3 linked regions of the Callithrix jacchus genome follow. The protein of the gene in region 1 interacts with the protein of each later gene in a biochemical or structural test. Links are inferred from orthologs where the notes say so. Each region holds a gene or a part of one and is shown in the gene's direction. Other genes may lie near its edges.

The links.
Region 2: the proteins of FLNA (region 1) and ITGB1 form a complex in vitro, tested with the Homo sapiens proteins (3 studies listed by BioGRID and IntAct). The link is inferred for Callithrix jacchus from reciprocal best matches to the Homo sapiens genes FLNA and ITGB1.
Region 3: the proteins of FLNA (region 1) and ASB2 form a complex in vitro, tested with the Homo sapiens proteins (3 studies listed by BioGRID, with this or other methods). The link is inferred for Callithrix jacchus from reciprocal best matches to the Homo sapiens genes FLNA and ASB2.

Annotation. Positions count from the first base shown.
Region 1 is NC_133524.1:150,150,545-150,154,187, reverse strand, and holds part of FLNA (filamin-A), read left to right. Parts: coding exon 1-183; intron 184-265; coding exon 266-439; intron 440-523; coding exon 524-686; intron 687-762; coding exon 763-923; intron 924-1,014; coding exon 1,015-1,185; intron 1,186-1,535; coding exon 1,536-1,659; intron 1,660-1,745; coding exon 1,746-1,902; intron 1,903-2,427; coding exon 2,428-2,617; intron 2,618-2,776; coding exon 2,777-2,800; intron 2,801-3,643. UniProt on the Homo sapiens protein: Promotes orthogonal branching of actin filaments and links actin filaments to membrane glycoproteins. Anchors various transmembrane proteins to the actin cytoskeleton and serves as a scaffold for a wide range of cytoplasmic signaling proteins.
Region 2 is NC_133508.1:32,641,336-32,645,624, reverse strand, and holds the start of ITGB1 (integrin beta-1), read left to right. Parts: upstream 1-1,488; 5' UTR 1,489-1,564; intron 1,565-4,289.
Region 3 is NC_133509.1:128,773,617-128,777,259, reverse strand, and holds part of ASB2 (ankyrin repeat and SOCS box protein 2), read left to right. Parts: intron 1-3,422; coding exon 3,423-3,527; intron 3,528-3,643. UniProt on the Homo sapiens protein: Substrate-recognition component of a SCF-like ECS (Elongin-Cullin-SOCS-box protein) E3 ubiquitin-protein ligase complex which mediates the ubiquitination and subsequent proteasomal degradation of target proteins.

The DNA of each region.
Region 1 (3,643 bases):
ACATCCAGGACCATGGCGATGGCACGCACACCATCACATACATTCCCCTCTGCCCTGGGGCCTACACTGTCACCATCAAGTATGGAGGCCAGCCTGTGCCCAACTTCCCCAGCAAGCTGCAGGTGGAGCCTGCAGTGGACACTTCCGGCGTCCAGTGCTACGGGCCTGGGATTGAGGGCCAGGGTGAGTGGCCCTGCTGTGCGGTATGTGGCAGTGGGGATATAGGGACCAGAGCCCCAAGTCTCCTCCCTGTGTCCCTTTGCAGGCGTCTTCCGAGAGGCCACCACTGAGTTCAGTGTGGACGCCCGGGCCCTCACACAGACTGGAGGGCCACACGTCAAGGCCCGTGTGGCCAACCCGTCAGGCAACCTGACAGAGACCTATGTGCAGGACCGCGGCGACGGCACCTACAAAGTGGAGTACACCCCTTATGAGGAGGGTCCGTGCCGGGGCTCCTGCAGGCCGGTGGGCGGGGTGGGTATCGCAGCCCGGACTCCTCCTGACCTGGCCTGCACTCCTTTAGGACTGCACTCTGTGGACGTGACCTACGATGGCAGCCCTGTGCCCAGCAGCCCCTTCCAGGTGCCTGTGACCGAGGGCTGTGACCCCTCCCGGGTGCGTGTCCATGGGCCGGGCATCCAAAGCGGCACCACCAACAAGCCCAACAAGTTCACTGTGGAGACCAGGTGAGGGGGCCCCGGGTGCCCGTGTGGCCGCTGGACCTGGGAACCCCGAGAATGAGCAGCTGTCTCTTTGGACCAGGGGAGCTGGCACAGGAGGCCTGGGCCTGGCTGTAGAGGGCCCCTCCGAGGCCAAGATGTCCTGTATGGACAACAAGGACGGCAGCTGCTCAGTCGAGTACATCCCCTATGAGCCTGGCACTTACAGCCTCAACGTCACCTATGGTGGCCATCAAGTGCCAGGTGAGGAGGTGGCGGCCAGCGCAGGGCTGGGACTATCTGCTTGTCCCCACCCTGTCTCATATAGCCACCATGCCTTTGCCCCACCCCTCAGGCAGTCCTTTCAAGGTACCTGTGCATGATGTGACAGATGCATCCAAGGTCAAGTGCTCTGGACCGGGCCTGAGTCCTGGCATGGTTCGTGCCAACCTTCCTCAGTCCTTCCAGGTGGACACAAGCAAGGCTGGTGTGGCCCCACTGCAGGTCAAAGTGCAAGGGCCCAAAGGTGAGTGTTTGCATGCCTGGAGCTGGGAGTCGGGAAGGAGACTGCTAGTGTGCAGGTGTTCTTGGAAGAGCCTCACATGACAGTGCAGCCAGGAGGGGGACTGGGAGGAGGTAGAACAGATAGGACTTTGTCACTTAGCAGATGTGGCAGGACGGCACGCAGGCAAGGGTCCCAGCTGGCACCCAGATGGGCGTCTTTTGTGCCAGAGAGGGTCAGGGCCATTCCCAGGGTCGGGCTGATGGGGATGAAGCAAGGTCTAGGCCTGGGGCTGAGTCTTGGCCATTGAGAGGCGGGGTAGGAGTGGAGGCCCAGGATATGAGCTGAGGCTGTGTCCCTGGGCCTGGGGCTAGGCCTGGTGGAGCCAGTGGATGTGGTGGACAATGCTGATGGCACCCAGACCGTCAATTACGTGCCCAGCCGAGAAGGGCCCTACAGCATCTCAGTACTGTATGGAGATGAAGAGGTACCCCGGAGGTAAGAGGCAGGGCCCGCTGCCTGAGGGGAGGTCCAGGCTGGATGCCTAGAGCCTATCTAACTGCTCACGACACCCTTGCCCACAGCCCCTTCAAGGTCAAGGTGCTGCCTACTCATGATGCCAGCAAGGTGAAGGCCAGTGGCCCTGGGCTCAACACTACTGGCGTGCCCGCCAGCCTGCCCGTGGAGTTCACCATCGATGCAAAGGATGCCGGGGAGGGCCTGCTGGCTGTCCAGATCACGGTGAGCTCCAGGCACAGGCAGGGGAGGCAAGGGGTCTGGGCCTGGGTGGCTGGAGTGTGGGCTGCCGGTGGCGCAGGCTGGCGTCTGGTCTCCCTGGGGCACTGCACCAAGGAGGGCAGGGAAGGACAGGGCCACAGCCTTTGGCTTGCTAAGGTTGTAACCAACTTAGGATGGTGGCGATAGGCCTGGGCTCCCCCAGACATGCACTTGCTCACTGCTGACTTTGAGCACATTACCAAAGCCTTTTGTGCCTCAGTGTCCCTACCTGTAACATTCTCATGGGGCAGGGAGAAGCCTGAGATCACCTGGGTGTGCTGGACAGGACCTGGGGCTGAGGATGGGTGCCAGGCTCCCTGGCCGTGCCTGTTGTCAGTGGGGGGTGTTGGATGTTTTAGTCTCCCTTGTGGACTCTGCCTGTAGGGAAATAAAGGGCAGTTGAGAGGCCTGGGGCCCAGAGGCTATCCCTGTAGCAGCGGCGCTGGCCACTCCGGGAGGCCAACTGTCTCCCCTGCCTCTGCCACACAGGACCCCGAGGGCAAGCCAAAGAAGACACACATTCAAGACAACCATGACGGCACCTACACAGTGGCCTATGTGCCAGACATGACGGGTCGCTACACCATCCTCATCAAGTACGGTGGTGATGAGATCCCCTTCTCCCCATACCGCGTTCGCGCCGTGCCCACCGGGGACGCCAGCAAGTGCACAGTCACAGGTGAGCCAGCCTGCCGTTGGCCGCCGCTGTGCTCGGCACGGGGCTTGGGTTGTGCCTGTGTGCAAGGGCTCGCTGCTTGGGGCGGCGTGTGGGAGTGGGGGCCGCCCCCTTGAGTGACTCACCTGACCTTTCTCCTTGCTCTCTGCCCTCTCACCTCAGTGTCAATCGGAGGTCACGGGCTAGGTAAGCTGCTTGCTGGGGCCACTCCCAATGCCCCTCCTGTCCAGAGGGGCAGCTTCCTTTCCTCTTGGGGCCAATTCCCAGGACAGTTCCAGCTGCAGCTCTAGGCAGGGATAGAGTGGGGGTGGGGGGCACAGAAGATGAGGCCATGGGCGGGAGGGCGAGGGCCCAGGGAGGCTTCCGGAGCTGAGCATGATCGCTCCAGCCCTCCCCTCTCTGGGCCTCTATTTCCCCATCTGAGAACTCGGGTTGCAGCTGAGAGCTTTGGGGTGAGGTGCATCCTGAGAGGCACCCCACTGGGGACTTTGGGGTCTCGGGATCTTGGCACCCAGGGAAACACAAGGGCTCCTGCGTGGGCTGAGGGAACAAGGGGTCTCCCCAACACAATGGGAGCCCCAGCCCTGGCCAGATCCACAGACTCCCATCCCCACCTTCCAGGGGCCTCTGTGTCCCGGGCTGGGGGAGGTGCATGAGCGGGTGGGGCTGGCTGGTAGTGCAGTAGCACCAGTGTTGACTGCTTGGGCGGCCAGCATGGCGGGGCGCAGCCCAGCCTCAGAGCCCCAAAGTGCATTCTGTGGCCCGTCTCCCTCCTTCCCCCTCCCTGATCCCCCAGCAGTGACGTTATTCAGACATTCAACAGGGACACCCAGGGATGCTGATAAGAGTCTGCAGGCCTGGCACTTGGGCAAGGTGGCCAAGGAGAGGGTTAGAGGGTGGCTAGAGTTTTGTGGCAGGAGCGAGGTGGCTTTATAGAGCAGGCCGTGGGGTCTGAGGTGACAGGCGTGTGTGTGCAGGGCAGGGGAGGCTGGGGGTTGCTGATGGCAGGGCCTTGAGGGCCAGGGAGTG
Region 2 (4,289 bases), on another chromosome or scaffold:
ATCAGGCATGGACCCATTATGCTTTTGTACTATACAGTTTTCTGTGCTGAGACTGGGCCAATTCTGATGAATTCCAAACAATGGTAAAACCGATACCTTTAAAATTCAAGAATGTTGAGTTCTAATGGCAGTTTGATCATTGATATATTATAGGAACATCATTTAGTCTCTTAAGCTTGAACATCCATTAAGTGGGAAAAATAGTGATTATTTTCTAGAGGTCTTCAGAGATTGGCTAACCAATAGATTTTGCTGGTAAGTAATGTGCAAATTTTCTAGAAAGATGTTATTGCTTCATTTTCTCTTATATTTTGGATTGGCAGCAGCCAAATGGGTGTCCCAGCCCCTAATCTCCTACAAGAGAAACACTACTTCTCAGTTTAATAAATCTGATAAATTTTGAGCTCTTTTTCTAACAGGGTGCAGCAGCTTACTAAGTAAAGCCCACAACATTTTCTGCTACCAGGATAGCAGCTTGCCAGCAGCACATACTGAATTACGGGGTTTCAGTATGATGTTGGCTGGTAGGAACTTCAATCATCCAATCGATATGTGCCCAGCCATTCTCATTATGAATGTTTCCTTCTCTTTCAAACGTTGTTTCCAGCCCCCATCTCCAAGTGTTTAAAAAAAAAAAAAGTGAGGAGAAACAGAAACTATACACCTCAGGATGAAACTTTTCTTTCTCATCCCTGTTCCCCAATAAATGGACTTTCAGATAAACCTATCAAAAGCAGCCCACAACTCACCATTTTCTAAAACGTTCCCCATCCCCACCCTTCGTGGCACCCATGGGCTTCCCCAAGTCTTCACCTTTTTCTTAGACACACGCAAGCACATTCTCACCCCAGGAAAGCAGTCCTGGCTTAGCCAGTTCCCTTCCAGAAGGACCACGTTGTTTTTGCCCCCATGGAGCCCTGCAGGGTCCGGGGCTCAGGTGCCGATTTGCCTTGGGACGGAAGGGGGGGCTTCCTGGGTGCAGGATCTCACAGGCTCAAAACGAGACATCAGTGGACAAACGGGAAGGGAGGTCGGACGCGCGGCTCCCAGGAAGCGGAACCAAAAAACACTGGCTCAGGAGGCGACGCCAGGAACGCGCGGGGCTCTAGGGCGCACCCGACCCCTCACGCCCTTCACAGAGGAGGAAACTGAGGCGCGGGACGGCCTCTGCGGCGTCTCTGCCCCGCCCTCCACAGTCTCCCCCAAGGCGCGCTCCCGTGCGGGCCGGTTCCTTTGTCCCGGCAGCGCTTCCTGCCTCCTCCTCGCCCCGGGCCCGGCTGACGCGGCGGGAGAGGAATGCGTTTCCGGAGGGAGCGGGCGGCGGCTGCGGCCTCGGGAGCGGGATCGGACGCGCAGAGAAGGCGGGGCCGCGGCTAGTTTCCTGCCGGGGGGCGGCTCAGGGCCGCCGAGTCCCCTCCTCCCGCCCCTGAGGGGGAGGAGCCGCCGCCGCCCGCCGCGCCCGAGACCTGGGAGGCCCCGCCAGCCCGCGAGAGAGGCCGAGCGGGAGCCGCGGAGCAGCAGGCCCGAACCCACCGCGCCCGGGCTCGGACGCCGCGCGGGGAAGGTAGGGGCCGGGGCCCTCGGGCGTGGGGTCGTGGGCCGCGGCCTCAGGGATCTGGTGCGCCGCCGCATTTTGGGCCGCCTGCTGGGCCGCGCCGGGACCTTTGTGCCGGGCGTGGGGGCGGGGGCGGCCGCCGGCGGGTGGGGGCTGGGGTGGGATTCCAGGCTCGCCGGGGAGGAAGTCCGCGCTCTGCCACCCGCCTGGCTCTTCCACCCGCCTCGAGTCGCGGGCGCTGGTAGTCCCCGGGCGCGGAGCCTACCCGGCCGCGTTCCGAGCGCGGGGGTAGATGGCTTGGGCGCTGTCACGTCGGGGCTGCGGGAGCTGCGGGGCAGTGGGCTCGAGCGGCCCCTGACACCTGCAGTCTCCCACCCGGCTGGGCGAGCGCAGGTGGAGCCAGCGAGGTCTCCTGGGGCTCGGCGTTTGGGACTCGGCGCGTCCCTGGACGGGTCCTGTGCCTTTGTCTCCCGCTCCCTCGCTGGCTGCCGTCCTTGGAGCAGCGTCGAGTCGGTTGTCCGCGCCCGCGGCGGGGACTGGTCTGGTGTCCTCCCGCTGCCGGGAGGCAGCCTTGAGGCCAGCGCCGCGGGCGGGGGAGGTGGGAGCCGGGTCAGAAAGTGGCCTCGCGTAGCCGCTGGGGACCAGAGGCGTGGTGGCGGCAGTGCCGTCCACCTCCCCGTGTTTATAAACGCGAGTGCCCGGCAGTCAGAGACGCCAGCCTCTGCCGGGCACCCCGGGACCAGGACGCAGGACCACGGTCACCCGCGCTCAGACCCCGTCCGCGAGCCTGAAAGCCGGCCTGTGTCTAGTATCATTTTACCTCACGTCATTTCTTAGGCTTCATAAATTGAATTTATGAGACTCCTACTCTAAGCAACTTTTATTTCGTGAAATTCGTTGTTTTGAGTCAAAAACTTTGCACTCATTTGTATGATTAGTAAGTTGCACTCAGCTTCCGTTTCCTTGTCTGTGAAATAGGAACAATAATATCTACACTAAATTATTCATTTTTATAATAATGACAATGAGGGCCAAGTTTAGGTCTAGGAATTTTACATGTATTATTTAATTCTGGAACCACTCTAATGAGGTCGGTACTGTTTTTATTCTCATTTTCTGAGTGAGAAACTGAAGCACAGGGAGCAAAAGTAAGTTGCCTGTGGTCATCAGGAGCTCCTGGAGAAGGCATGGGGTCTAGCTCCAGAGTCCACGTTTAAACCACAAGTAACTTTCCTAACTATAGTCTAGTTGTGAAAATCAAATGCAAAATGCGAGACACTTAGAGTAGATGCTTAATGAATACTGACTCCTTTTCAGCCCTTTCTTTATAATAAAAAGATGTTAAAAAATATCTCAGAAGGTAATTGGTAACATCATTAGTAATTTCTCTGGACCAACATGCCACATGGATAACAGGTGGGGAGAATTACTAGGTTATTTTGTTTTGTTTTGAGACCGGGTCTCTGTCGCCCAGGCTGGAGTGCAGAGGTGCATCACAGCTCACCGCAGCCTCAACCTCCCAGGCTTAAGTTACTCTCCCACCTCAGCCTCCTTAGTAGCTGGGATTACAGGCGCCTGCACCCTTTTAAAATTTTTTGTAGAGACAGGATCTTACTATGCTGCCCAGGCTGGCCCCAAACTCAAGCAGTCCTCTCTCCTTGAGCTCCCAAAGTGCTGGGATTACAGGTGTGAGTTCCTAAGCCTGGCTCTTAGGTTCTTATTTTTTTAATTGTATTTTTGATGGTACAAAAATAACATGCTAGAGGAATTTAGGTTAGACATCTTTCTTAAACCACGTATGCCCTTAAAAATACGCTATGTAATAGACCACTTTCAGAAATGATTAAGAACTTTAGTTGGCAGTTAACTGTTCATTTGTGGACACCAAGGCCCAGAGGGGTCAGGACTTAGAGTCTCACTGTAATTCTTATATTTTTAAATAATGTTGTCTCATTGATTAATATTACACACGTGGTTGAAAATGGTGAAGTGTTAAATAAAAAAGTTTGGTGTTTTCCTACAGGCATTTGGGGAGAAAGCCATTTTACTTATCCAAAGATTGAGTATGAAGGTGGAAGATGTTATTAGAATGCTGGTTAAAAGGACAAAGAATGTGGATAATACTTTAGTTCTGTAAACAGAAAGCAAATAGACTGTTTAATGCGTCTATGTTGACTTCAGACCTAGACCTACAATGATTGTGACTTCTTTTTTAACCATGTGAAGGTCTATATTGAAATTATTTTTTGTTACCCTCACTCAACATTCTCTACATGAAAAGTATGGAATCAACAATTCTGAAAGCCACTAGATTTAGTAATTAGACAGCTTTCTTCTTAGCTTTGGTCAGTATCATTTAAATCAGCCCCAAATTACCATTACAAATGAAAATGTAATTCTACATTGGTGTTCACTTCCTAACTTTGGGAGTGACAGTGGGGACATCTGGTCACATTTTGCAGTCAAACAACATGGTGCCAGTTTTCCTAAGAGTGCTTGCCACTGATTGTAATGTCTTTGTTGTTTGGCTTCTTCCTAAGTAAGTTGTGGCTTATAGCGGAGACTAGTATAATGTTCTATCTGGAAAAAATATTAATATTCTGTAGGTGCTCTGGTTTGCTCTTAACTATATTGCTAGTGTGATAAGCTGAAACGTCTTGTAACTGGTAAAAGTTTCAGAGAACTTTTGAGGTCCAAGGATGTAACTTTCTGAATATGAACAAGCTGCATATAT
Region 3 (3,643 bases), on another chromosome or scaffold:
CCCAGAGAGGACGGACCCGCTGGTGAATGAGGGAAAAACAGAAACCTCGTGGGTAGGAGGCCGATTCCAGAGACCGTGCAGGAACCAGGGTGGGAGTTAGTTACATGCTGTGAGCTCTTCTCTCTACCCGAGAGGGCAGGGGACGGCTCTCCAGCAGTATGAGACCTTGGTCCACAAACATACAGTACCAAGATTGCCATGTGTGGTTTTCATCCTTCAGTGACTTTTGTTTGATGGTTTGTTTTATTTACTTAAATTTATCAAGCGCCTACTGTGTGCTACGCATCATACTCTTGATATTTGGGCTTGACATAGGTCGCCATGAGGCTCTAGGGTGAGAACAGAGGGCCTGGCACAGTGGCAGGCATGGGGTGGACTCTCATGGCACTGTGGGGGGTGTGGGGTGGACTCATGGCACGGTGGTGGGTGTGAGGTGGAATCTTGGGTTTGTTAGCTCTCTCCTCTGTTAAGATGCCTACTTGCCTCCTGCCTTCAGCCAGGCCCAGCCCAGTCACTGCCTCCCTGGGGCTGTCCTGGCTTCTTGCTGACTCAGACAGGGCAGCCATGCGTTGACCCACCAAGTGACAAGATACACTGTCCCCCCAGCCCATTCTCTGCTCTCACGGAGCCTGATAGGTCTGAATCCACGACAAGTTGGACTCCAGGGTCAGGTGATGGTGACATCTCTTCACCCCAGAGCCTGCCCAGTGACACACAAAGGACAGAGGCCCTACCTGGGCTCCTCCAGGCCATGACCTGCACCACATCCTGCAGAGGCCAGGCTCCTCGCACCTCCCATGACTCAGCCCAGGAGGTCTGCTCTGCTTGGAATTCCCCTGCTTGGGGCCAGAGGGGAATCAGGGCCTCTAGCCTCGATCAGCAAGAGCACAAAACCCAGTCAGGGGCCCTGGCTCCCCAGCCAGCCCTGAGACTCAGGGCTCAGTAACTCTGAGCAGTTGCCTTGCATAGCCCCCAAAGCACCCCGATCTCAGTGCTCCCAGAACGAGCCCTCCTGCCTCGACCTCAGTGCATCCTCTGTGACTCTGTGTCTGTGTGTGACCTCGTTTCCCTCCCTGATGGCTTCCCAACATCCTCAGGATCCACAGAAAGGTATGTCTTAATGAGCTGCATGGCCAGCCAGAGCTGGGAAATCCTTGTTGAACGGAACTCAGTCTGTCTGTTTCCTCATCTGCAAATTGGAACAGCATAGCTGCTGCCTCATCAATGACGGCAGGAGGATGGAAATGAGGAGAGGAGAGTCATGCCTTCGCGAACGTGTCTGCTCTGCACAGTTGTCAGAAGCTGTCATCATCACCATCTCCCTCCACCTCCAGCAGCCTCAACCTCCCGGCCACCATGGCTGCTGTTAGTATGCAGCAATGGGTTCTAGTTTAGAACGGTGCAGTGGGCTTTTTACCAATGCTTTATTATCCTGCTAAAAACATTCTAATGATGGCGGGTGATTGGAGGCCACACGTGGACTAAGCATGAGGGCAGCCATGACCCAAGGATCCTGGGAGGTGGAAGCTCAGGGCCTCATCAAGACGACGCGGCTGGAGACGGCCGAGGTGAGCCTGGCCCCAGGCTGCCTCCACCTGCCTGGCTCTCACTCCTTCTCAGGACCAGGTGCTAACGCAGAGGACACTAAGTCCAGCAACTAGTAGGGCTGACGAGGGGCCCTGGCTCTGAGATCTGCTGGACATGGACTTTCTCCACAGCTGCAGAAGCAGTGAAGACGTTCCCAGTCTGGTCCCAGTTTCACTTCTCCATTTTGCAAATGAGAAAACTGAGGCACAGAGAGGGGACGGGGCTTGTTCAAAGCTGCAGGGCTGGTCAGTGTGGAGGTCGGAGAGCTGGAGAGAGAATGAGAAGGCAGAAAGAGGCCAGGCCTTCAGAGGACAGGGTGGCATCAGAGCTGGGCAGACAGCAGCGGACTGAACCTCTGCTCACTCGCTGCCCCGCTGCAGGTGACCCTGCGCTCACAGCCTCCGTGTCCTTATCTGTAAAAGGCACCCCCATCTACAGTCGATGGATGAGGATGAATGAGGACACCTGCAGGAGGTGTCCCCTCCACCCCGGTGCGGGTCAGTAGAAGGCCGGGAGCAGGGGGCGGGAGAAGGAAGGTGGGAAGGAGTGACTGCAGTGAGGGTGAGGAAGGCGGCCAGGCCTACAGCCAACCCTGAGAGGGTGAAGCAGAGGGGTGAGCATGTCTCCCTCCTCTCACCGGCCCTGCTCCTCTCCACCAGGCCCTGGCCTTGCCGGGGGTACTCACAGAATCTTTAGGCACTGGCCTGGCCTGAAAGAGTGCGAGTGTTTCTCAGGGTCACAATTACCTCATGCTCCACAGGGTGTGAGTCACTGGTAGCAGAATCCTCCCCAATCCCCCAAGAAAAGTGTGGGGAAAGGCCAGGCCCACTGGGGTGTGAGAGCGCCAGGCCTGACCTCCTGGGGGTGGGGTCAGCAGGGACCACATACCCTGTTCTCACGAGGACCCCAGGCCGACTCAGATGTGTGGAGCGGCCATCCTCCTTCTTCCAGCCCTTCCACCCTCTCAAGAGCCTGGCAGGGTGGGAAACTGAGGCTTAGAGAGGAAAATGACGAGAAAAGTAACAGCGAGCACGTGTGCAACCCCCTCTGCGCTCACTCCACCAAGCTCCTCACATCAGCCGCTTACGCAGGCCTCACTGGCCCTCAAGCACAGGCTGTTTTCATGCCACCTTGCAGGTGGGGGGACTAAGGCACAGAGATGGTCAACCTGTCCCACATCACATGGCCAAGGAGCACCAGAACCTGGACACGAACCTGTGTCTGGTTGCGATGACCTTCCTTGTGCATCCTATAGTGACATTATAGAGTTTGCTGTAGTGTCTGCTCGCACCCCTGGGACAAGATCCCCTAATGAGGAGCCAGCAGGTGGGCATGGGGGGTCACAGGCACAGCTTGGTTTCTCAGCTTTGCTCCCCTGTCCTCTGCTTCCCCATGCATTTCTCGTCCCACCCTGTAGGGACCTGCCTGGCCAGTGGTGAGGCTGAGCCCTTTTCATCTTGAGACCTGCTGACCTGCTGACCCTGGCTCACATCCTCCAGGGTGAAGAATGTCACCTTGCTTTGTATTTGCCTCCCTTGTGGCTGGCTGGGGAGGGGATCCTGGGGGTGGGGTGAGGTTAACCTCATTGTTGTCTTATATGGTCATTTAAATCTCCCAGGGCTTCCTCCAAGGGCCAAAAATAATCCAGAGACACAGCAGCTGTGTCCAGCACACGGAGAGGACCCAGCCATCTGCTTTGGTTCAGAGCGCTGTGTCTGTCCGTCAGTCAGTCTCTCGCCAGCTCTCCCTCCATCCTCGCGTCTGCCTGAAGCCATGACCCGCTTCTCCTATGCAGAGTACTTTTCCCTCTTTCACTCCTGCTCTGCGCCTTCCAGGTCCGCTGCGCCTCCCGAGAGCTCGCCAGCCCGCGCCCCCATGGGCTTGTTCCAAGGGGTCATGCAGAAATACAGCAGCAGCTTGTTCAAGGCCTCCCAGCTGGCGTAAGTGACTCCTGTCTGGCCCCAGGGCCATCCAAGTTCACTCCCCTAATTGAGGTGGCAGGGAGGGTGGGAAGCAGGTCCACAGCCCCCATCCAGGAGGGCAGAGGGCACTATGG